Anolis sagrei: one gene and its partner. The protein of the gene in region 2 binds, or shares a complex with, the protein of the main gene of each other region. Links are inferred from orthologs where the notes say so. Each region holds a gene or a part of one and is shown on either strand. Other genes may lie near its edges.

Region 1 (11,341 bases), on a different chromosome or scaffold from region 2:
TTCCCTCCCTCTTTCTCCTTCCATTCCACTCTTGTCCTTCCTTCCCTCTCTCTCCCTCTCTCTCCTTCCTTCCTTCCTGCTTTCCTTCTCTCTTTCCTCCCTCTCCTCCTTTTCTCTCCCCCCATTTCCTTCAACCCTTTTGTCCTTCCTTCTCTCTTTCCTTCCTCCTCGCCTTTCCTTAATTTCCTTCTACCCTTTCATCCTTCCCTCACTTTTGTCTTTCCTTTCTTCTCTCATTTCTTCCTCCAAACCTGCCTCCCTCTCTTTCCTTCCTTCCCTTTCACCTATTCATCCTTACTTCCCTCTCTCATCCCTCTCTCCCTCTTTCTCCTTCTTCTCTTCCCTTTTGTCTTTCCTTCCTTCTCTCTATAATCCTACCCTTTCATCCTTCCCCCCCTTTCTCTTTCTTTCCTTCCATCCTTCCTTCCCTCTTTCCTTTCTTCCTTCCCTCTCTTCCTTTTTTCTCTTTCCATCCTTCCCTTCCTTCCCTTTTGTCTTTCCTTCCTTCTCTCTTCCCTTCCTCCAAACCTCCCTCCCTCTCTTTCCTTCCTTCCCTTTCACCTATTCATCCTTACTTCCCTCTCTCATCCCTCTCTCCCTCTTTCTCCTTCTTCTCTTCCCTTTTGTCTTTCCTTCCTTCTCTCTATAATCCTACCCTTTCATCCTTCCCCCCCTTTCTCTTTCTTTCCTTCCATCCTTCCTTCCCTCTTTCCTTTCTTCCTTCCCTCTCTTCCTTTTTTCTCTTTCCATCCTTCCCTTCCTTCCCTTTTGTCTTTCCTTCCTTCTCTCTTCCCTTCCTCCAAACCTCCCTCCCTCTCTTTCCTTCCTTCCCTTTCACCTATTCATCCTTACTTCCCTCTCTCATCCCTCTCTCCCTCTTTCTCCTTCTTCTCTTCCCTTTTGTCTTTCCTTCCTTCTCTCTATAATCCTACCCTTTCATCCTTCCCCCCCTTTCTCTTTCTTTCCTTCCATCCTTCCTTCCCTCTTTCCTTTCTTCCTTCCCTCTCTTCCTTTTTTCTCTTTCCATCCTTCCCTTCCTTCCCTTTTGTCTTTCCTTCCTTCTCTCTTCCCTTCCTCCAAACCTCCCTCCCTCTCTTTCCTTCCTTCCCTTTCACCTATTCATCCTTACTTCCCTCTCTCATCCCTCTCTCCCTCTTTCTCCTTCTTCTCTTCCCTTTTGTCTTTCCTTCCTTCTCTCTATAATCCTACCCTTCCATCCTTCCCCCCCTTTCTCTTTCTTTCCTTCCATCCTTCCTTCCCTCTTTCCTTCCTCCTTCCCTCTCTCCTTTTTTTCTCTTTCCATCCTTCCCTTCCTTCCCTTTTGTCCTTCCTTCCTTCCTTCCTTCCTTCCTTCCTTCCTTCCTTCCACCTACTCATCCACCCATCCACCCACCCATCCCTGGGCAGCCAGTCCTGTGAGCAGGGAATGCTAGCACGTGGCCCCCAAGTTAGAAAGTTTGCCCATGCTTGATCTACACTGTAGAGTTAATGCAATTTGATACCACTTATACTGCCGTGGCTGAGTGCTATGGAAACATGAAAGTTGGAAAAAAGAGGGCAAACTAGAAATCCCAGGGTTCCATAGCACTGAGCCTTGGCAGTTCAAGTGGTATTGATCTGCATTAATTCGACAGTGTGGACACACCCGCGGCCATCCGTCCTTTTCCATTTGCGAACCAAGGCACAGGCTGGTCTCTATTTTATCTCCTTCGTTTCCTCCTGGTCCTCCAAAGTATTTGAAGGGTCGGGTCACATTTCCTCAATTCCTCTCCTAAAGCATAATGTGTTTTGACTAATGACTCATTAATTGCAGTCCGGCCTTAACACCCTCCCAAGTTCAAGAGAAAAGCCACAGGAGGGGGAAACAGGCGTGCGTGCGATGACCCCCCGGGGCGTTTGGCTGGCTGGCTCGGACTCCTTTCTTGGGTCCAGCTATACTGTAAAGCCAATGCCGCTGGACCCCACGTGAGCCTCCTTGGCTGGGGCATCACTGAAGCTGTAGTTTGGTGAGGCACCAGGCTTTGCAAAACTACAGTTCCAATGATCTTACCACATTGAATAGAACTGCTTTCAAAGTACGCATAGTGTCTAGATCTAAGGAAGTCATGCTCCCCATGCTCTATTCCGCTTTGGTTAGACCACACCTGGAATATTGTGTCCAATTCTGGGCACCACAATTCAAGAGAGATATTGACTCTAAGCTGGAATGTGTCCAGAGGAGAGCGACTAAAATGATAAAAGGTCTGGAGAACAAGCCCTATGAGGAGCGGCTTAAGGAGCTGGGCATGTTTAGCCTGAAGAAGAGAAGGCTGAGAGGAGATATGATAGCCATGTATAAATAAATATGTGAGAGGAAGCCACAGGGAGGAGGGAGCAAGCTTGTTTTCTGCTTCCTTGGAGACTAGGGTCTGGAGAACAAGCCCTATGAGGAGCGGCTTAGGGAACTGGGCATGTTTAGCCTGAAGAAGAGAAGGCTGAGAGGAGACATGATGAGAGCCATGTATAAATATGTGAGAGGAAGCCACAGGGAGGAGGGAGCAAGCTTGTTTTCTGCTTCCTTGGAGACTAGGGTCTGGAGAACAAGCCCTATGAGGAGCGGCTTAGGGAACTGGGCATGTTTAGCCTGAAGAAGAGAAGGCTGAGAGGAGACATGATGAGAGCCATGTATAAATAGGTGAGGGGAAGCCACAGGGAGGAGGAGGGAGCAAGCTTGTTTTCTGCTTCCCTGGAGACTAGGGTCTGGAGAACAAGCCCTATGAGGAGCGGCTTAGGGAACTGGGCATGTTCAGCCTGAAGAAGAGAAGGCTGAGAGGAGATATGATAGCCATGTATAACTATGTGAGAGGAAGCCACAGGGAGGAGGAGGGAGCAAGCTTGTTTTCTGCTTCCTTGGAGACTAGGACGCAAGGGAACAATGGCTTCAAACTACAAGAGAGGAGATTCCACCTGAACACGAGGAAGAACTTCCTGACTGTGAGAGCCGTTCAGCAGTGGAACTCTCTGCCCCGGAGGGAGTGTGGTGGAGGCTCCTTCTTTGGAAGCTTTTAAGCAGAGGCTGGGTGGCCATCTGTCAGGGGTGATTTGAATGCAATATTCCTGCTTCTTGGCAGAATGGGGTTGGACTGGATGAAGGCCCAGGAGGTCTCTTCCAACTCTTTATTCTATGATTCTAGGATTCTGCACAATTAAACACGAAATAGCACTTTCAATCGAGGAACAAAACATTTTTCAAATTTTGTTACATAGTAGTGTTGTTGTTGTTGTTGTTGTTATTGATGCCCACCTGGAAATGATGCTCGTATCTCAATATACCCCCTGGACACTCAATAAGCCCCAGCTCAAGGATGGAGCAACGACTGAAAGGACCTGAGCCTACCTGCATAGATTCTAATTTCTCATTGTGTGGATTGATACCACAGGGAAAGCGGTCAATGCGTCTTGGAAAAGACAACCTTGTAGGACTAAGCAAATAATAGTTTGCCTAGACACACAATAAAAGTGAAAATATGTATGTGTGTGTGTGGCTGGGGTGTCCACTGACACAGAGAGGCTGCCACTTGCATGAATAGCTATAGCTCCCACTACTCAGGAGATACCAAAGGCCAGGAGATACCAAAAGAGGAGGGCGACTCAAATGATCAAGGGTCTGGAGAACAAGCCCTATGAGGAACGGCTTAAAGAGCTGGGCATGTTTAGCCTGAAGAAGAGAAGGCTGAGAGGAGACATGATGATAGCCATGTATAAATATGTGAGAGGAAGCCACAGGGAGGAGGGAGCAAGCTTGTTTTCTGCTTCCTTGGAGACTAGGACGCAATGGAACAATGGCTTCAAACTACAAGAGAGGAGATTCCATCTGAACATTAGGAAGAACTTCCTGACTGTGAGAGCCGTTCAGCAGTGGAACTCTCTGCCCCGGAGGGAGTGTGGTGGAGGCTCCTTCTTTGGAAGCTTTTAAGCAGAGGCTGGATGGCCATCTGCCAGGGGTGCTTTGAATGCAATATTCCTGCTTCTTGGCAGAATGGGGTTGGACTGGGTGATGGCCCACCAAGTCTCTTCCAACTCTTTGATTCTATGATTCCCTCCAATGACATTGCCGGTTATAGTGAGCACCACGACCATGTCCAAGAGCCCGGCCAATGTCCTCCACAGACACCACACTGCCCACCACCCCAGTGAAGGCGTTCATTCAGGGACAACTTCATCTATAGTTATGTGTTTCCTCCACCACAGACATCCCAGTGTTTCTTACTTCTCTCTATTTGCATGACCCCGCCCACTGCCTCTCCCTGATTAACCCTTTCCTATTCTTTTCTATGGCACACGGCAAACAGAGCAGAATAGATCTGCATCTGAACCTACTGGAGAACTTTGGGGAGAATTCACCATGATTTGTAGGTACTGGGATGTATAGTTCACTTTCAATCTAAGAGCACTCTGAACTCTACCAATGATGGAGCAAGGAACTAACTTGGCGCACAGAACCCCCATGACCAACAAAACATAGTGGGAGGTCTTTGGAGGGATTTAGAGGAGTTGTAGTTCACCTACATCCAGAGAGCACTATGAATCCAAACAAGGATGGATCTGGACCAAACTTGGCGTGCATATCCAATATGCCCACATTTGGGTACTGGTGGGTTTTGAGGGGAATTGGCCTGGACATTTTGGGATTGTAGGTAATGGGATGTATAGCTCACCTGCAATCAATGAGCACTATGAACTTCACCAACGATGGACCTGGAACGAACTTGGCACAAAATTATCAGCAAAAAATACTGAAGGTCTTTGGGGGGAATTCACCTTGATTTGGGGGAGTTGTAGTTCACCTACATCCAGAGAGCACTGTGAACCCAAACACAGATGGATCTGGACCAAACTTGGCACACAGATAGGATATGCTGAAATTTGATTACAGGAGGGGTTTGGGGGGAACTGACTTTCTTTTCTGGGAGTTGCAGTTCACCCACGACCAGAGAAACTCTGACCTCCACCAATGATGGCCCTGGGCCAAACTGGGCACACACAGAGCCCCCATGACTAACTCAACCTACGGGAGGGTTTTCAGGGGACTGACTCACCATAGTGGGAGTTGTAGTTTACCCTGCAGCCAGGGTGCATATTGAACCCCATCGATGTTGCATCTAGGGCAAACTTGCCCAACATAACAAACGTTAACTACTGATGGAGCTTCCTCACTCACCTGGTGATGCGGAGGTGGCTGCTGCTGCTGCTGCCGCCGCTGAGGGCGCCTGTTTCCGGGCCACGCCCCTCGCTCCCCATTGGCCGGCGCCGCCCCTATTTCTTCTCCTGCGAGCATGAAGCAGCGGCGGCGGCGTGAGTTTGGCCGAGGCGAGATTGGCCATGGCTGGCGCGTGGACGCGGAGGTCTGGCGGGCTGCTGGGCTGCTGCTGCTTCTTGGCGGGGCTGTGCCTGCCTTCCCTGCCGGCAGCCTCCTCCTCCTCTTCGGCGAGCCCCAGGATCCTCACTCCCCCGAGAGGTAAGGCCGGACCCAGGAGCCCGACCAAGGGTGTCTTCCTTCCTTCCTTCCCCGCCCGCCTGCCTGATGGGGTAGCCCTGTGGCCGGGGGGGGGGGGGGGGGCTCACCACAGCCACATAGATCTCTCCCTCCCTCTCCGTCTCTGCACGCAAAAAGAAGTTGGGTCTGAGCTGGGGGCTAAGCAGGGCCAGCCCCGGTTGGCCCTTGGGTGGGAGACGGAATCCCAAGTCAGGCAGTGGACGGTCTCCCGGGGGGCTAGCCCTTGTCCCTTGGCCCTTGTGGGCTCGCTGGGGATACTCCCAGTTCCCTTGCCCGAGCCTTCAGTGGCGTTGACCGTGCCTGGGCTTCTAATGGACAAGAGCGGGTTCCTGTCCTCTCTTGAAGGCGGTGGTTCTCAGCCTTCCTCGTGCCGCGATCCCTATATACCGCTCCTTATGTAGGGGCATACTTACCTCTCCCAACGCATCTCCTCCCATGAACCGACTGGGACACTCAGATCGTCTGGGGAGGCCCCGCTCTCTGTCCCGCCTGCATCACAGGCACGCTTGGCGGGGACGAGAGACAGGGCCTTCTCGGTGGTGGCCCCTCGGCTGTGGAACACCTTTGGACACTAAGATCGTCTGGGGAGGCCCCGCTCTCGGTCCCACCTGCATCACAGGCACGCTTGGCGGGGACGAGAGACAGGGCCTTCTCAGTGGTGGCCCCTCGGCTGTGGAACGCCCTGCCTGCAGGTATCAGACAGGCACCTTCGTTGCTGGTGTTTCGGAGAAAGGTCAAGACCTGGCTGTTCGAACAAGCATTTGATTAAACAGTGTAATTGAACATAGGAATACGGAATAATGAATGACGAGACTGGACTCTGATTTTAGTGCTGAGGCGCTCATGATTGTTATTCGGATGTTAATGATTTATGTTACAATTGCTTTTAATTGCCGTATACTTGTTTTGTGATATATTTGTGCTGATGTTGTTCACCGCTCTGAGTCGCCTGAGGGCTGAGAAAAGCGGTATAGAAATAAAGTAAATAAATAAAATAAATAATGATGATGTGGTGACCCCCAACCGTAACATTATTTTTGTTACTACTTTCATAACTGTAAATTTTCTACTGTTAAAAATCATAATGTAAATATCTGAGATGCAGGATGTATTTTAATTCACTGGACCAAATTTGGCACAAATACCCAATATGCCCACATTTGAATACTGGTGAGGTCTTTTTTGTGGGGGGGGGGGGGGGGGATTGAGTTTGTGTTTGGGAGTGGTAGCTGCTGGGATGTATAGCTCACCTACAATCAAAGAGCATTTTGAACTCCACCAGTGATGGAATTGAACCAAACTTGGCCCACAGAAAATACTGGAAGTGCTTGGTGGGCACTGACCTTGAGTTTGGGAGTTGTAGCTCACCTACATCCAGAGAGTCAAGCTAGGATGGATCTGGACCAAACTTGGCACAACGACTCAATATGCCCAAATGTGGACACTGGTGGAGTTTGGGGGAAATGGACCTTGGGAGTTGTAGTTGCTGGGATTTATAGTTCACCTACAATCAAAGAGCATTCTGAACCCCACCAACTATAGAATTGGGCCAAACCTCCCACACAGAACCCCATAACCAACAGAAAATACTGTGTTTTTCTGATGGTCTTTGGTGACCCCTTTGATACCCCCTCGTGACCCCCCTAGAGGTCCTGACCCTCAGGTTGAGAAACGCTGCTTTAAGGCGTCCTGGTTTGGTATTTTATGATTGGGTCTCTCGGTACCTATTGGTTCTGGAAGTACAACACCTGCGGTCTAAGCATTCAGTCAAACTGATTGATTTAATAGTATTACATAGTAGTAGTAGTACTTTGGAGTAGTAGCAGGAGGTGTGGTTGTTTGTCTGTTAAAAAATTGCAATACTACCGTTTGGTTTCCTCCTGATACAATAAATAAATAAAATATTGGAGTAGGAGTAGGAGTAGTATGGAGTAGAAGTAGGTAGATAATGTTGTATAGAGAGGAGATTCCACCTGAACATGAGGAAGAACTTCCTGACTGTGAGAGCCGTTCAGCAGTGGAACTCTCTGCCCCGGAGGGAGTGTGGTGGAGGCTCCTTCTTTGGAAGCTTTGAAACAGAGGCTGGATGGCCATCTGTCAGGGGTGATTTGAATGCAATATTCCTGCTTCTTGGCAGAATGGGGTTGGACTGGATGATGGCCCAGGAGGTCTCTTCCCACTCTAGGATTCTATGATTCTATGATTCTATGTAGTACGTAGTAGTTAATATTAAGAGTACATTCTGAGTCCCTCCATGGAGGTCAAGAAGGGTGGGGTAGAAGTGTTTTAAATAAATAAATAAATAAATAGCACATAGTAGTTAATATTAATAGTACATAATAGCATGATGTAGTAGTACTTAGTAGTATGTAGTAGCTATACTAGTACTGCTTAGTAGTATGTAGTAGCAGTAGTACTACATATATTGCTAGGAGGAGCAGTAGTGCGTAGTGGTGGTAGGGCGTAGTAGTATGTAGTGGTAAATATTAATATTACATAATAGTACATGCTAGTTAATAATAGTAGCACACAATAGTTACTAATAATACATTGAAAATAAATAAATAAATAAGTGCCCCCCCCCCCCCCTTGAATGGCCATGACTCCTTTTCCCCTCCTCCACTTAAGCTTAAACGGCGGGGGTGCGGGGGTGGAAGGAAAGGGCCCGAGGTTGTTAGGAATTGTGGGAGTTGAAGTCCACAACACCTGGAGGGAGGGAGGGAGGGAGGGAGGGCCAAGCTTTGCCCAGGTCTGATATAAATACACCCACAATTAGGGAGATGTATTCCTTCCACACCTTTCCACACCTTGGGCTGCACCCAACTCTTAAGCAGTTTAACGTTGTTGCACTTCAACTCCCATCGACCTGACAATGGTGTAGGCAATTTGTGAAGCTGTGAGCAGGTTGCTTTCCTGCTTGGCTCACCTGGGATGGCCATCTCAACGCTTTGCCAAATCCAGCGTCTTCGCTCACCCCAAATAGTAGGGTTGGTGCTCTGGAGGCAGGTTGGACTCTTTTTCCGTCCACAGAGACGCCTTATGTAGGTGTGTGGCTTTTACGCAGTGGTAATTGCATAGTGAGGCCAGACCCAAATTGAAGGGAGGATCAGTTTGAGATTGGCAGGGCGGCACTTTGTATTTCTTTTGCTGCGTTCTTGAGATCCAGTGGCCAGATTCTGGTTCCTTAAGTGGGGGCGGGGGGGGGGGGGGCATCTGCACTGGAGAACAGGCAGGGGCAAACTCTCTCACTTGGGGGAGAGACGGAAGGAAGGGTGGGAGGGAAGGATGGAAGGAGAAAGAGGGCAAGGAAAGGAGGGAAGAAATAGGGAAGGAATGAAGGATGAAAGATGGAAGGAGAAAGAGATGGAAGGAGGGAAGAGATGGAAGGAGGGAGGAGAGAGGAAGGAAGGAAGGAAGGAAGGAAGGAAGGAAGGAAGGAAGGAGGAGAGGGTGGGAGGGAGGGAGGAAGGAAAGAAGGAGGGATGGAAGGAGAAAGAGGGCAAGGAAAGGAGGGAAGAAATAGGGAAGGAATGAAGGGTGAAAGATGAAAGAGGAAGGGATGGAAGGAGAAAGAGATGGAAGGAGGGAGGAGAGAGGAAGGAAGGAAGGAAGGAAGGAAGGAAGGAAGGAAGAGAGGGTGGGAGGGAGGGAGGAAGGAAAGAAGGAGGGATGGAAGGAGAAAGAGGGCAAGGAAAGGAGGGAAGAAATAGGGAAGGAATGAAGGGTGAAAGATGAAAGAGGAAGGGATGGAAGGAGAAAGAGATGGAAGGAGGGAGGAGAGAGGAAGGAAGGAAGGAAGGAAGGAAGGAAGGAAGGAAGGAAGGAAGGAAGAGAGGGTGGGAGGGAGGAAGGAAAGAAGGAAGGATGGAAGGAGAAAGAGGGCAAGGAAAGGAGGGAAGAAATAGGGAAGGAATGAAGGGTGAAAGATGAAAGAGGAAGGGATGGAAGGAGAAAGAGATGGAAGGAGGGAGGAGAGAGGAAGGAAGGAAGGAAGGATGGAAGGAGAAAGAGGGCAAGGAAAGGAGGGAAGAAATAGGGAAGGAATGAAGGGTGAAAGATGAAAGAGGAAGGGATGGAAGGAGAAAGAGATGGAAGGAGGGAGGAGAGAGGAAGGAAGGAAGGAAGGAAGGAAGGAAGGAAGGAAGGAAGGAAGGAAGGAGGAGAGGGTGGGAGGGAGGAAGGAAAGAAGGAAGGATGGAAGGAGAAAGAGGGCAAGGAAAGGAGGGAAGAAATAGGGAAGGAATGAAGGATGAAAGATGAAAGAGGAAGGGATGGAAGGAGAAAGAGATGGAAGGAGGGAGGAGAGAGGAAGGAAGGAAGGAAGGAAGGAAGGAAGGAAGGAAGGAAGGAAGGAAGGAAGGAAGGAAGGAGGAGAGGGTGAGAGGGAGGAAGGAAAGAAGGAAGGATGGAAGGAGGGAGAGGGAAGGAGGGAGAAAAGAAGGAAATTTATTGTTGTTATTTACCGTATTTACACCCTGTGTTTCTCACCCCGGAAGGGACTCAAGGCGGCCTTACAACAAGCAGCAATTTGTTGCCGTACATCCATGTCTCAAATACACAATAACAATTAAAACATGAATGATTGAAACCTCAATTCAAATCACACCATCCAAAACGTAATCCAGAGCCGTTCCATTTGTCAACCACAATGACGAAAGGGAGGGAAGGAAGGGTGAAAGGGTGAAGTATGGAAGGAGGAAGGAAAAAGAGAAGAAAGGAAGAGAAGGATGGAAGGATAAAGGAAAAAGAGAAGGAAGGGAAGACAAAAGGGAAGAAAAGGAAAGAGGGAGAGAGAGATGAAAGAGGGAAGGACAAAAGGGTGGAAGGGGATGGAGCCAAGGAGGAAAGAGGGAAGGAAAAAGAGGACGAGGGAAGGAGAAGGAAAGAGGAAGAGAGGAAGGATAGGATGGTGTGAGAGAGGAGGGACTCAGAAAAAAGCCCAAGGGGCCACATCTGGGTTTTCCTATACCTGCCGTAGGATTAATCTAGTTTGGCACTACTTTGCCATGACTCAGTGGTATGGCATCCTGGGAGTTATAGTTCGGAGATGCATGTAACCCTCTTTGGTAGAGAAGGCCCAAGACCTTGTAAAACTACAACTCCCATTTGCAGTTCACTGCTCACTGGAGCCCCGGTGGCGCAATGGGTTCAACCCCTGTGCCAGCAGGACTGAAGACCGACAGGTCGCAGGTTTGAATCCGGGGAGAGGCGGATGAGCTCCCTCTATCAGCTCCAGCTCCTCATGCGAAGGGGACATGAGAGAAGCCTCCCACAAGGATGATAAAAAAACATCAATTCATCTGGGCATCCCCTGGGCAACGTCTTTGCAGACAGCCAATTCTCTCACACCGGAAGGGACTTGCAGTTTATCAAGTTGCTCCTGACACGACCAAAAAAAAAGTTCACTCAGTTCTTGTGGGTTTTTTCGGGCTATATGGCCATGTTCTAGAGGCATTTCTCCTGACGTTTCGCCTGCATCTATGGCAGGCATCCTCAGAGGGTGAGGTCTGGAGCTGGGAAAAAAAGGGGGTTTATATATCTGTGGAAAGACCAGTTCACTCTTTCTCGCTATCAAAATCCATTCTTACCCGAAATGTTTTTGTTTTCCCACTAAGTTTAGATATTTTGGTGTGTATGGGGAAAGAGCCTTGATCCGGTTGCCAGATGGAATCCCAGAGCCATCCGTTCAGGATCAGCCGGGATCAGCAGTCGTAAATCCACATCTAGTGCCTGCCTTTCCTCTAATAGACGGATCTGGCACAAATAAAAAGGTTCTGGCCCTACTTTCCCAATTAAACTAGCCGT
Region 2 (12,406 bases):
GCCTTTCCAAAGACCATGAAATCTCCAAAAGGTTATGGAGATTTCCATTTTCCAAAAATGCTAACAGGATTGCTTTAGGGGAAATTATTTACCATGCTTGATCTATTTGTTGGTGTGACTTGATACAATTCTAGCAGAGTACAATTCTGCCCCGCAAGGCTTTTAAGGCAACAAGACATTACAGCAGCAAATTGTTCTTTGACTCAAGAGTACTTGCAGCCATTTGTGCTTTAATACTTAATAAAGGATGCATCTTAATGCACAACTGGCATCCCCCCCCCCCCCCCGTTTCATCACATAACACAAACTTTAGCATATAATTTTAACTTGAAAAGCCTTCTTTGTACAATTGTTGCATAACTGTGTTTTGCCACTGCAAACCAAAGTTCTTACTTCTCATGTTGAGTAATGTCACAAGGTCTTCTTTCACAAAACTCCAACAAGCTAGCTATAATATCTTAGTAACCCTGTTTCTGAGTCAGCCAACAGTCAGCATTTAAGGCCTACTGATTGCAATTAGAAGCTGACCAAGTACTTAAATAGTGCTTATTGTTGATTGTTTTACAGCAGAATGATATCTGTCAACTTTTTAAGAATGTAAAAGCCAAGTATCTAAGTACATTTCAGATACCACATGTGCCAAACAGAAATCTGGCCCACCATATCATTTTATGTGGATCTCCAGATGCTTGTCTACTACACCTTTATTTCTCATCATTAGATTTCATGACTAGAGCTGGTGGGAGCTGTGATACATTAGTTGGAAGGCTGCAGTTTGTTCTGTTTAGTCAGGAGAATGGGGTTTGAATTTAGATACAAGGCTTGTAGATATGTCTGACTTTAAAATTTCCCCACCCCAGAGCCACTAATGTTGTTGGGTTGCAATTCCCATTATCTTTAGTCTGCATGATGGACAATCAAAAGTGATGCGAGTTGTCATTCAATAACATCTGGAGACCCAAACTGGGTAAAAACTAAAGAGTACTGACCATTATGTTAAAAATATATAGTTGGCTCTCTGTATCTACGGATTCACCATCCATGGATTCAATGGCCCGTTGAAGGTTTATGTGGCCCTTAAAAAATGAGTTTGATACTCCTGCTCTATATATTTGCAAGAGTGCTAAAATCAGATTGCTTATGTACGCTAAGAAAAACTGGATGCAGATCAAGATGATGACATGGGCAATGTTAGACTTTGACTGAGGAAACATAGTTTTAAATCCCCACAAAGCCAATTGCTCTGACTTAGCCTGATTTACCTTGCAACTGCTTGTATGATGTGAAGAACGTGAAGTAGATAACATGCCTGAACTTCTTGAGGGGATGGTGGAATAAAAATAACATTTGGCCAAGGTGCCCAACTAAAGCATTATGAGATTATTCTTGGAATTTGGGGGCCAACACCACATTGCAAAGATAAAGCAGACCAGACTGTTTTCACAATGCATCATGATTACATGAGAAATAAGGTTGAACATTGTGAAAGCCACCCATTATATGGCTCTCAGTCTCCTCCCAGTAGACTTAAATCAAGGAAAAGTTTCATGAGAACCACCACTCCTCTAAATGTTCCTCCAGCAACAGCAAAAATATCCCTGTGGGCAGCAAAATCAGGCAATTCCAACTGGATCCCCCCTCCCATGAGGGTCTTCCTCCAGGGGCAAACCAAGAATGAGCAACTTGGAAGTCACTGAACAGACTTAGGGGCGGAGTTGGCAGATCAAAGGACAACCTGGCAAAATGGTACTACCTAGCAGAATCCTCCACTTTGTGTGACTGGAGTAGAACAAACAACTCAGCATCTGTATGCTTGTCCACAATGCCCTGCATCATGCACAGAGGAAGAATTGTTTAAAGCTACAGAATGCAATCGCTGTTGCCTGTTTTTGGTCTAAAACTATCTAGCACCTTGTGATCCCTTTATTTTATCAGTTGTGGATAAACTATTTTATGCAATGCTTTTGACACAAAACAAATAATGATTACGTGAGTGTTACAAATACAGAAGTGGGTTGCTAGATGTGCAGTGCAATTTTAGATATTGGGAATGAGGAACTCTGTAGTTGGCAAGAAATTATGAGAACTACTATTCAAAATATCAGGGCAGCCTAAGTTTCACCATGCCTGCTACAGATGTGCCCAAACAAAGCCCAACTGAATTTAGTATGAAAGTTCAGGCCAGATGTGCATGGGATAGTACTCTAATCTGTTTTCAACTTTGTTATGTTGTGTATACACAACAAATGTACCACTATATGCATTAGGAACCCACTGTTTCTTTGCACATATATAGAGAGACTGACCTAAGTAAACTCTGATGCTCAGTATCATAATGTTAAGATGGAATACTTGAAGATGTTAGGCAGAATACAGGAGGAAGCTAACAGACAGAGACTGTCACATGTTTAGTGTTCATAACCTATAAAACATATGTACAAAACTGATAGAAAACTTCTGCCCTGTTTGCTAGATTCACCCCACAGAAGATCCTGATCTGGCCTACTTTTTTCTCTTTTTAAAGTGCAGAAGATTTTGCAGAGAACACTGAACCCACCACATTTGGCACACAGACCCAACACGGCCAACTGTGCATACAGGTGGGGTTTGAGGGTGATTGACATTGGCACCGGGGAGTTACAGTTCACCCACATCCTGAGAATACTGAACCCAGCCGACGTCGGATCTGGACCAAATTTGGCACACAGACCCAACACGACCTACTGTGCATACAGGCGGGGTTTGGGGGTGATTGGCATGGGCAGTGGGGAGTTATAGTTCACCCATCTCCTGAGAAGGCTGAACCCAGCTGATGTCTGATCTGAACCAAACTTGGCCCAAGATGGCCAACTGTGAATACTAGTGGAGTTTGGGAAGAACTGGCCCCAGATTTTTGGGAATTGTAGTTCACTCACATCCTTATGCATTTTCTTATGGGAACATTCATAAAAAACAAAAGCAAAGACTTATTCCCCCCCCCCCCTAAGAAATAGAGTAACATATGATCAAACTGATACTATCTAACATCCAAAAACAAAAATGCCTTTTTCAAATAATATGAGCACCGCCAGGTTCCCAAGCTAGTGCACAAATGAAGCTGTAACAGAAACTTCCCCATCTTCTGTTCCTCTTTTGCAGAAAAACATCAGATGGACTGGAAAGTTGTCTCCCATTTTTGGAATTTCCTACTGGTTTCCTAAATCCCCACCATGAACTTAAAAACTGATATCGAAACAGGTCACTGATGCTGTGAGGAAAGGCAGGAATCATAGTCAAATGCTTAAACTACTCCACTAGGCATGGGCAAACTTCAGCCCTCGCTCCGCGTGTTTGGACTTCAACTCCCGCAATTCCTAACAGCCTCAGGTCCTTTCCTTTTCCTGGTGGAAAACCTTTTCCTGCAGGAAAAGGAAGGAGCCTGAGGCTGTTAGGAATTAGAATCATAGAATTGGAAGAGACCTCATGGGCCATCCAGTCCAACCTGCTGCCAAGAAGCAGGGAAATTGCATTCAGAGCACCCCAGACAGATGGCCATCCAGCCTCTGTTTAAAAGCTTCCAAAGAAGGAGCCTTAACCACACTCTGGGGCAGAGAGTTCCACTGTTGAACGGCTCTCACAGTCAGGAAGTTCTTCCTAATGTTCAGATGGAATCTCCTTTCTTGTAGTTTGAAGCCATTTTTTGCATCCTAATCTTCAGGGCAGCAGAAAACAAGCTTGCTCCCTCCTCCCTATGATTTCCTCTCATATATTTATGTCATGTTTCCTCTCAGCCTTCTCCTCTTTCAGGCTAAACATGCCCAGCTCTTGAATCCGCTCTTCATAGGGCTTGTTCTCCAAACCCTTGATCATGTGAGTCGCCCTCCTCTGGACACATTCCAGCTTGTCAATCTCTCTCTTCACTTGTATTGCCCAGAATTGGACACAATCTTCCAGGTGGGAGGGCTGGAGGGTTTGCCCATGCCTGTTGTGCCACACGGGGTGGCTGCTGCAGCCCAGCCCTCCCGGCCCTTCTCCCCGCTACTCACGCAGGTGCTCCCGGGGGAGTCCAAACGGATCTCGGCCGCCGTGTCTTGGCTGCACTTCTGCACCTGGCCCAGGATGCGCTCCAGCGGGAAGAGGCAGACGGCCGTGGCCCCGGGCGCCCCTTCTTCGGCCGCCGCGAAGAGCCCGACCCAGAGGCCTTTGGGCTCCAGGAAGGAGGAGGAGAGGATGCGCGCCCGTGACCCGCACCGCAGGATGACTTGCCCTTTCAGGACGAAGAGTTCGCCTGGGTTCAACTTGACCACCAGCATCTTGGGCTCCACGCTGAGGTTGCGGTGGAAGTAGGGGAAGAAGAAGTGCCCCTTCCAGTCCAGGACGGCCGAGAAGTTGAGGTACTGCTCGCCGGCGAGCTTCAGATACTGGTTCGGCTCCACGCCCTTCCCCCCGCTCGTGACGAAGACGGCCACGGTGGCGGTGCCCTCCTCCAGGATGCTGCTCTCGGCCCCGCAGGCAGAGACCGAGGCGTTGGGGCGCTTGTGGCTGGTGGCCGCCAAGAGGAACCACTGCCCGGCGCTCAAGTACATCAACCCCGCGGAAGAGACGCCCGGCAAGGAGCTCACCAGCTGATTCCCGAAGGTCCGGGTGGCGTTGGGGCCCCTGGCGCGGTCCTCCCGGAGGCAGAGGCAGCCCGGCCGCGTCCAGCAGGTCAGCAGCAGGCGGCTCTCGTTGCCGAAGGGCAGGAGCAAGATGTTGGTGGCGTCCTTGGCCTCCTGGCACCGGCCCACCGACTTGGAGGACAGCGAGGGCTCCACCTCGTACCAGCACCGCCCGCTGGCCACCAGCAGCTTCCCCTCGGCCACGGCCAGGTTGTCGATGCTGGAATCGAAGGACAGGACGGGAGGAGGGGGAGGAGGAGGGCTCCCGGCCAGAGTCCAGGACAGAGAGGAGAGCAGCCACGCCGCCGCCCACGCTGCCCCTCCGGCCATGGCCTTGGGCTTGCCTTCGAGCGGCGCCACCGGCAAGTGTGCCGCCAGCATTGAAGGCGGGCACCTCCTCCTTGCCTCCCTCCTCCCTTTCTCTCTCTCTCTCTCTCTCCCTCTGGTTTCCTCCTCCGCGGAGGAGCAGAAGTTCCTTTTCTCGGTGAGGAGCCCGCTTCAAGGCTTTCCCCCGAGGCTCTTCTCTGTCCACGCCTTTCCCCACCTTCCAGAGGAGTGGCTCCGTCCTCTGGGAGACTGGCCTCTAGGGGTGAGAAAGCGAGCGAGGGGGCTCAAGAACACCTTCCCCTGCTTTCATTTATTTCCTGCCAAAAGCACTGCATAAAGAGATAAGGGTAAAACTGATAACATAAATTCAGTTGTTTGGGCACATCTGTAGCAGGCATGGGGAAGCTTGGACCGCCCGGATATTTTGAATAGTAGTTTTCATAGTTGGAGGAAAATTCTGAGAGGGCCTTGGACCGGGAGAAGATCCAACCAGTCCATAGAGACATCACACTGGCAACAAAGATCTGCATAGTTAAAACAATGGCATTCCCCATAGTAACCTACGGATGTGAGAGCAGGACCTTAAGCAAAGGAAGGAAGATAGATGCTTTTGAACTGTGGTGTTGAAGGAAAATTCTGAGAGTGCCCTGGACTGCAAGAAGATCCAACCAGTTCATACTTCAGGAAATAAAGCGGGACTGCTCATTGGAGGGAAGGATATTGGAGGCAAAGATGAAATGCTTTGGCCACATCATGAGAAGCTTGAGGAAGACAGTGATGCTGGGGAAAATGGAAGGAAAAAGGAAGAGGGGCCGACCAAGGGCAAGATGGGTGGATGGGATCCTTGAAGTGACTGGATTGACTCTGAAGGAGCTGGTGGTGGGGACAGCCAATAGGGAGCTCTGGCATAGGCTGGTCCATGAGGTCATGAAGACTCGGAAGTGAGTGAATGAATAAACAACAACAAAGTTTTCATAATTTCTTACCTACTACAGAGTTCCTCGTTCCTGATATCAAAGATTGCACTGGACACCTAACAACCCACTTCTGTATTTGCAACCTTATTGTAGCACTCAATAATTATTTATTTTGTGTCAAAAGTATTGTGTAAAATAGTTTATCTAAAACGGATAAGATAAAGGGATCACAAACTGCTAAATAGATTTAGACCAAAAACAGGCAGCAGCAATTGCTTTGCCTGTAGCTTTAAACAGTTCTTCCTCTGTGCATGAGGCAGGGCATTGTGGACAAGCATATAGCTGTGGAGTTGTTTGTTCTGCTACAGAGTCACACAAGGTGGAGGATTCTTCTAGGTTCTCAGCCTGTGGGTATCTAGATGCTTTTGCCTTCAACTCCCAGAAATCCTAACAGCTGTTAAACTGGCTGGGATTTCTGGGAGTTGTAGGTCAAAACACTTGGGCACTCACAGGTTGAGAAACACTGTTCTAGGTATTTCCATTTTGCCAGGTTGTTTTTTGATCTGCCCTCTCCACTTCTGAGTTTGTTCAGGGACTTCCACATTGCCCATTCTCGGTTTGCCCCTGGAGGAGGACCCTCGTGGGGTGGCCATCTAGTTGAGATCTCCTGGTTTAGCTGCCCAGAGGGATACTCTTGTTGTTGCTGGGGGAACATTTAGAGGAGTGGTGGTTCTCATGAAGCTTTTCCTTGATTTCAGTCTACTTGGAGATGGCTGATAGCCATATAGTAGGTGGTTTTCACAATGTTTAATCTTATTTCTCATGTAATAATGATGTATTGTGAAAACATTCTGATCTGCTTTATCTCTGTAATTTGGTGTTGCGCCCCCCCCCCCCCCCCAATTCCAAGAATAATCTCATAATGCCTTAGTTGGGCACCTTGGCCAAATGTTATTTATATTCCACCATCTCAAGAAGTTCAAGCATGTTATCTACTTCATGTTGTTCACATCATACAAGCAGTTGCAAGGTAAATCAGGCTACGGAGTCATAGCAATTGGCTTTGTGGGGATTTGAGTCTACTACTCTCACAATTGGCAGCAACTTCCTGTCACACATTTGGGGGGGGGGGGGCAATGCTAGCTAGCTTATAGTCTATTAACAGGTGTAGGTTTGAGACATCCTGTGATTATTCTACTTGTCTAATTCAGGGCTATATTCACCTGCTTCATGTGGGCAGATTTATGGGGACAGGCATACTCAGCAGTTGTGTAAGACAAGACCAGGGCTGATGTTTTTATTAATTCTGAATCTGCACCCTATGCACTATTATTAAGTTTCTGCAGGATTTTATTGTGTGCAGCTACTTTGTGCTTGGTGTTCATACAGTGTTTCCTAAATGTTAGTGTTTGGTGTAAGGCGGCACTGAGATAATTAGGATGGGAACAGTGTTCAAATTCTTGGCCTTCCCAGGCAACCGTCAGTTTCCTGTTGGCTTCACGATTTTGTAAGTGGAAAGCACACACTTGTGTCCGACAGGGCTAGGCTTCAGGTGGTTGTCTTAGTAGTAGCTAGAGAGATGTTTCAGGGCATTAGTAAGTTGGTTTTCAATTGTTTCAAAGTCTTATGCTTGTATTGTTAAGCCAAAGTCATCAGAGTATATAACGCTCTTTGTGAGTGGTGGTTGTGGCTGGTTGTTAGTACAGATGCTAAACAAGATTGGTGTAAAAACATTGAGGTAGACTAACAGGCAGCTCTGCAAAGACTTGCCTTCACCTTTCCTCTGAGATGAGACGCTCCTCTCCAAACGTTGCCTATCCCCCTTTCCTCTTGGGAAGGAGAAAGTGCTCTTGCAAGGCTCCCCTCACTTGAAACGAAGAGGGTCCTCTCCAAGCTTTACCCAAGCCTTTTCTCCTCTGGCAGATGAAGAATGAGAGGCTCCCCTATAATTCTTGTCCCCACTTTCCTCTGATAGGTGAGAGGCTCCTCTATAAGACTCTTATATTCTTCTGCTTGGAGACAGAAGACAGGTTTCTCCATTACACTCACTGTCCCTTTCCTCTGAGAAAAGAGGTTCCACAACAAAGCTTCCCTTCTCTTTTTCCCCTCTGGTCAGTGAGAAAAGAGAGGCTGAAAGTCTTGCCTACCCCACCCCTTTTCCTTTGCTTGAGGCTCCCCTAAAGGCCCCTTTCCCTCCTCAGTGAGAGAAGAGAGGATCCTCTGCAAGACTCCCCCTCCCCCTCACCCTCCACCCTCCACCCTCCACCCTCCACCCAAGTTTCCTCAGCTGCCTCCAATGAAGAGTCTCCCGCTCTTCCCTCCTTTTGGGCGCGCTCCCAATCTCTCTCTCGTGCTCGCTCCCTGCCCTCAGGGCGCGTGACCCTGAGCTGGACACTCGCGCGCGCGCGTTTGCTCGGCCCCGCCCCCTCCTGCCAATCCTCACCCTTAAGGCTCCCCGGATATTCTCCTAGACAAATTTGCAGGGAGGGGCCTGCCTGGAACCGGGGCTGCTGGCCAAAAGCTGGCAAGGCTGACCCCTCAGGAGGAGGTTGGGTAAGGCCTCCTCCCATATCCCATCATAGCCAAGAAGGGAAGAGTTTGGTTCAGGGTGCAGCTACTCTGTAGAACTGATCCAGTTTGACACCACTTTACAGCTAAAGTACCTCAATGCTATGGAATCATTGCAGCAGGGCCATACAAAAGGTGACTGGCACAACCTGGGGGGTCATAACCAGATATAGTGAAGACATTTGCCCTTGCTCGTTGCTACTCGGCTGATGAGTACGCACACCCCGAGTGTGGAATACATCTCACTACAACAAAACAGTGGAGCTAGAAATAATATCCTACAACAGCTGACTGGCACAGTCTTGGGATCACAACCAGACACAGTGAAGACATCTGCCCTTGCACTTTACAACTCTGCTGCGGAGTATACATGCCCAGTGTGGAATACATCTCACCACATCAAAACAGTGGATGTGACTCTTAATGAGACATGCTGCATTATCACAGGATGTCTATGTCCAACACCACTGGAGAAATTATACTTTTTAGCCCGTATTGCACCACTTGACATCCATCAGGAAGTAGCAATCTGTAATTAAAGGACCAAGGCAGTGACATTTCTGGCCCATCCTCTGATCTGATATCAGCCACCAAGCCAACACCTTAAATCAAGAAATAGCTTCCTCAGATTTACAGAGATACTGTTAGGAACACCTCAGCAAGCAAGAGTCCAAAAGTGGCAGGCTAAAATCCAGCACCTCAATCAGTGGCTGATACCGAATGAGAGACTCCCTCCTGGGCACACAGAAAACTGGGCAAGTTGGGAGGCGCTGAACAGGCTGTGCTCTGGCATCACAAGATGCAGAACAGACCTTAAGAAATGGGGCCACAAAGTGGAGTTCACAACATGTGAGTTTGGAGAAGAGCAAACCACAGAGCACTATTACAATGCAATCTGAGTCTTGCCACATGCACAATGGAGGATCTTCTTATAGCAACACCAGAGGTATTCCAAGTGGCCAGCTACTGATCAAAGTTTTAAAACTGTGTGTGTGTGTTTAAAGATACATTACAACTGTACCCTTGGTTCGCTTCTGATACGATAAATAAATAAATGGCAAGGCCTGTAGCCTTCTCTGCCAAAGAGTGCTGATGCACTGGCTGACTATAAACTGCACACCCTGCAGTTATTCCCCACCAGAAACAGGTTTTTGGATGCTAATGGACCTAGTTCTTGTCCTTGCTCTCAGTTTTTCAGAGGGTGTATCTGCACCAGGCATTGGGAAACTTTGACCCTCGAGGTGTTTTAGATTTCAACTCCCACCATTCCCAACAGACTCGGGCCCTTTCCTTTCCCCCCTCAGCCACTTAAGCATAAGCCCAAGTTTTCCCAGGCCTGATCTACACTGTAGAATTAATACAGTTGACCCCACTTGCACACAAATGCAGAGAGTTTGATCTTTAACCTTCTCTACCAAAGACAACTGGGGTTTCACCAAGCTACAAATCCCAAGATTCTATAGCATTGAGCTAATGCAGTTAAAAGTGGGGTCAAACTGCATTTATTCTACAGTGCAGATGGACCCCTAGACAGCCATGGGCTTCCAGATGAAGGGCTTCTCTTCAGAGCAGCTGGAAGACTTGGCGTAACTGTTGTTGTTATTCACCATCAATGTTACCTTTCTGAGTGTATCTACAGTGTAGAATTAATGCAGTTTTAGCACCACTTGAACTGTTGTGATTAAGTGCTGTAGGATCATGGGAGTTGTAGTGTTACAAGTTCTTTAGCTTTTTCTGCCGAAGAGTGCTGGTGCCTTATATTCTGTTGGTGTCTCATTTTTGTTTGTCTGTTTTTGGCATTCCACAGTATCTGTAGAACTTGCCATAAGGGATTTTCACTGCTAAGGACATTAGAGGCATGGAACAACAGGGAAGATGATAAGTGAAGGACAATATCATCCAAACCCTCATAAATATTTATTTATTAGATTGAGATCACACTTCCCCCCAAATGGGACACATAATAGCTTAGAATTCAAAGAATGAGGATGGGTAATATTTCATAAATATCCTGCCCAAGGATTTGTCATCTTTTCTTCAAAGTTTATCATGTGAACAAAAAAAGAAGGGGAAAGTTTTTGGCAGTGTCAGAGGATTGCTGGGATATTATGCAATGTGTATCATACCATGTGATGATATATTGGATTATAGGGTGAGATAAGAGGGTAAGTGTGGTTTGGAAAATCTATGAAATTGGAACAGAATGAAGTTGGGATAGAACAGGGATAGAATCTCAGCAAAATTTGCATATGGATGGTATTTGGAGGAAAGAGGGAGGGAGGTGGTGTTATAATTTGATTGTGTAATTTTTTAATTAATTGGTTTTAAGTTGGTGATGTTTTAATTATTTGGTTTTAATGTATATGTTTTGTTTATTCTATGTATGTATATATGTGGCATCGAATTGTGCCTTTTCTGTGAGTTGCTGAGGCCCCTTAGGAATGAGAAGGGCAGGATATAAAAGCAGTGAGTAAATAAATAAATATGTGCTGAAAGTGAGGAGAGCTAGGGTGCATCTACATGGTAGAATTAATACAGTTTGACACCACTACAACCACCATGGCTCAATGCTATGGAACCATTGGAGTTGTAGTTTGGTCACTCTCAAGCACTCTTTGACAGATTATTATTATTATTATTATTATTATTATTATTATTACTATTATTTTAGTGATCTGCAAAAACTAAAATATGGTCCGCTGCCTCACTGTTACTACACTGTTGAAATGAGAGTGACTGGTGTCACAAAATCTCCTTATAGTGCTAGGCTTATTAAATATGGTTTTCTGTGGGCAAGTAGATGGCAACTACTGGATGGCATATGTTCTGTATCAGAAACTAGAGCTGATGTGGTCTAGCCAATGCAGTTTTCACCATAGTAGGATTGTTGTTAACTACTACTGTCCTACGAATTGGCAAAGTAAGAAACCATCTACGATCGAAGAATGGCTGAAAAAAATAATGGAAATTATGAATACAGATAGACTAGCATACCAGACACAAACACATCAGGGTTTACCAAAAACTCAAACAGACTGAAAACCAATTAAGGATTATCTAAAACAAACCAAGGTAATAATAATATAAACTAGATAGAATGCATAAGGAAATAGCTGTTCACAAGTAACTACAGAAAGAAAGGGGAAGTTATCAAGAAAAGAAGAAAAGGGAACTGCTTGTTTATTAAAAAGACCACAGCAAGAAGTAGATGGAAGTCAAGATACTGCCATTTATTTTAGTCCCTTTCCTCTCCCCCCCCCCTCTTTTTTCTTTTTTCTGTTTTCCCACCTTTTTATCTTTTCCCTTTTCTTTTTAATACAATGTATATATAAAATAAACTAACTACCATCAAGTCAACTAATAGAAACTAAAGGAATCAAAGCCATCCAAATCACTTGATCATTAGCTCAGATCTTGAAGATTCAGAGATGTGTCTTCTTTCATTGAGTCTATCCATTTGTGAAGTCTTCTTTTTCTTCTTTTTACTGCCTTCTATGTTACCAAGCATTATTGTATCTTCCAGTGAGTCAGGTCTTCTCATGATATAGTCAAAGTCTGACAGTATACATTTGGTTATCTTGACTTTTAGGGAGAGTTCATAATTTATTAGCTCTAGGAGCCATTTATTTGTCTTTTTAGCCATCTGCGGTATAGTGAAATGATTAAAGAACAAATGACATCTCAAGTCTCAATTGTGGAACAAAATCCTTCTCTGAGCCCATTTTAAAAGAACAGGAGGCAAATAATAGTGGGGCAATGGGTAATGTGGCATTGAGAAATAGATCTACTGAATGTTTTACAACACAGAGAGTCAAAAAATACAAGAGCAGCTCATTCAATCCCTTGATAGACAGGAATGGTCTGTAAGAACTAAAATATAGTCTGCAGCCTCACCATTACTACACTGTTGCAATGAGAGCTACTGGTCTTGCAAAACCCTCTTATAGTGCCGAAGCT

The links.
Region 1: the proteins of PLXNC1 (region 2) and SEMA7A are in contact, whole or in part, in a crystal structure (PDB 3NVQ), measured with the Homo sapiens proteins. The link is inferred for Anolis sagrei from reciprocal best matches to the Homo sapiens genes PLXNC1 and SEMA7A. Residues at the interface, in NP_005752.1 of Homo sapiens: Arg131, Thr151, Glu152, Val153, Asn195, Pro196, Ala197, Ala198, Ser199, Asp200, His201, Thr203, Ala206, Lys208, Arg213, Ser214, Leu215, Ala216, Thr217, Gln218, Glu219, Leu220, Arg222, Lys224, Glu272, Ala350, Ser352, His353; in NP_003603.1 of Homo sapiens: Gln194, Tyr196, Asn197, Gly198, Lys199, Arg202, Arg204, Tyr213, Ser215, Asp216, Thr217, Gln270, Gly271, Gly272, Glu273, Ser274, Ser275, Leu276, Val278, Ser279, Lys280, Pro372, Thr375, Glu376, Phe378, Gln379, Asp382, Arg383.

What each region holds. Positions count from the first base shown.
Region 1 is NC_090023.1:274,684,845-274,696,185, forward strand, and holds the start of SEMA7A (semaphorin-7A), read left to right. Parts: upstream 1-5,334; 5' UTR 5,335-5,361; coding exon 5,362-5,497; intron 5,498-11,341. UniProt on the Homo sapiens protein: Plays an important role in integrin-mediated signaling and functions both in regulating cell migration and immune responses.
Region 2 is NC_090025.1:154,774,945-154,787,350, reverse strand, and holds the start of PLXNC1 (plexin-C1), read right to left. Parts: upstream 5,147-12,406; 5' UTR 5,019-5,146; coding exon 4,026-5,018; intron 1-4,025.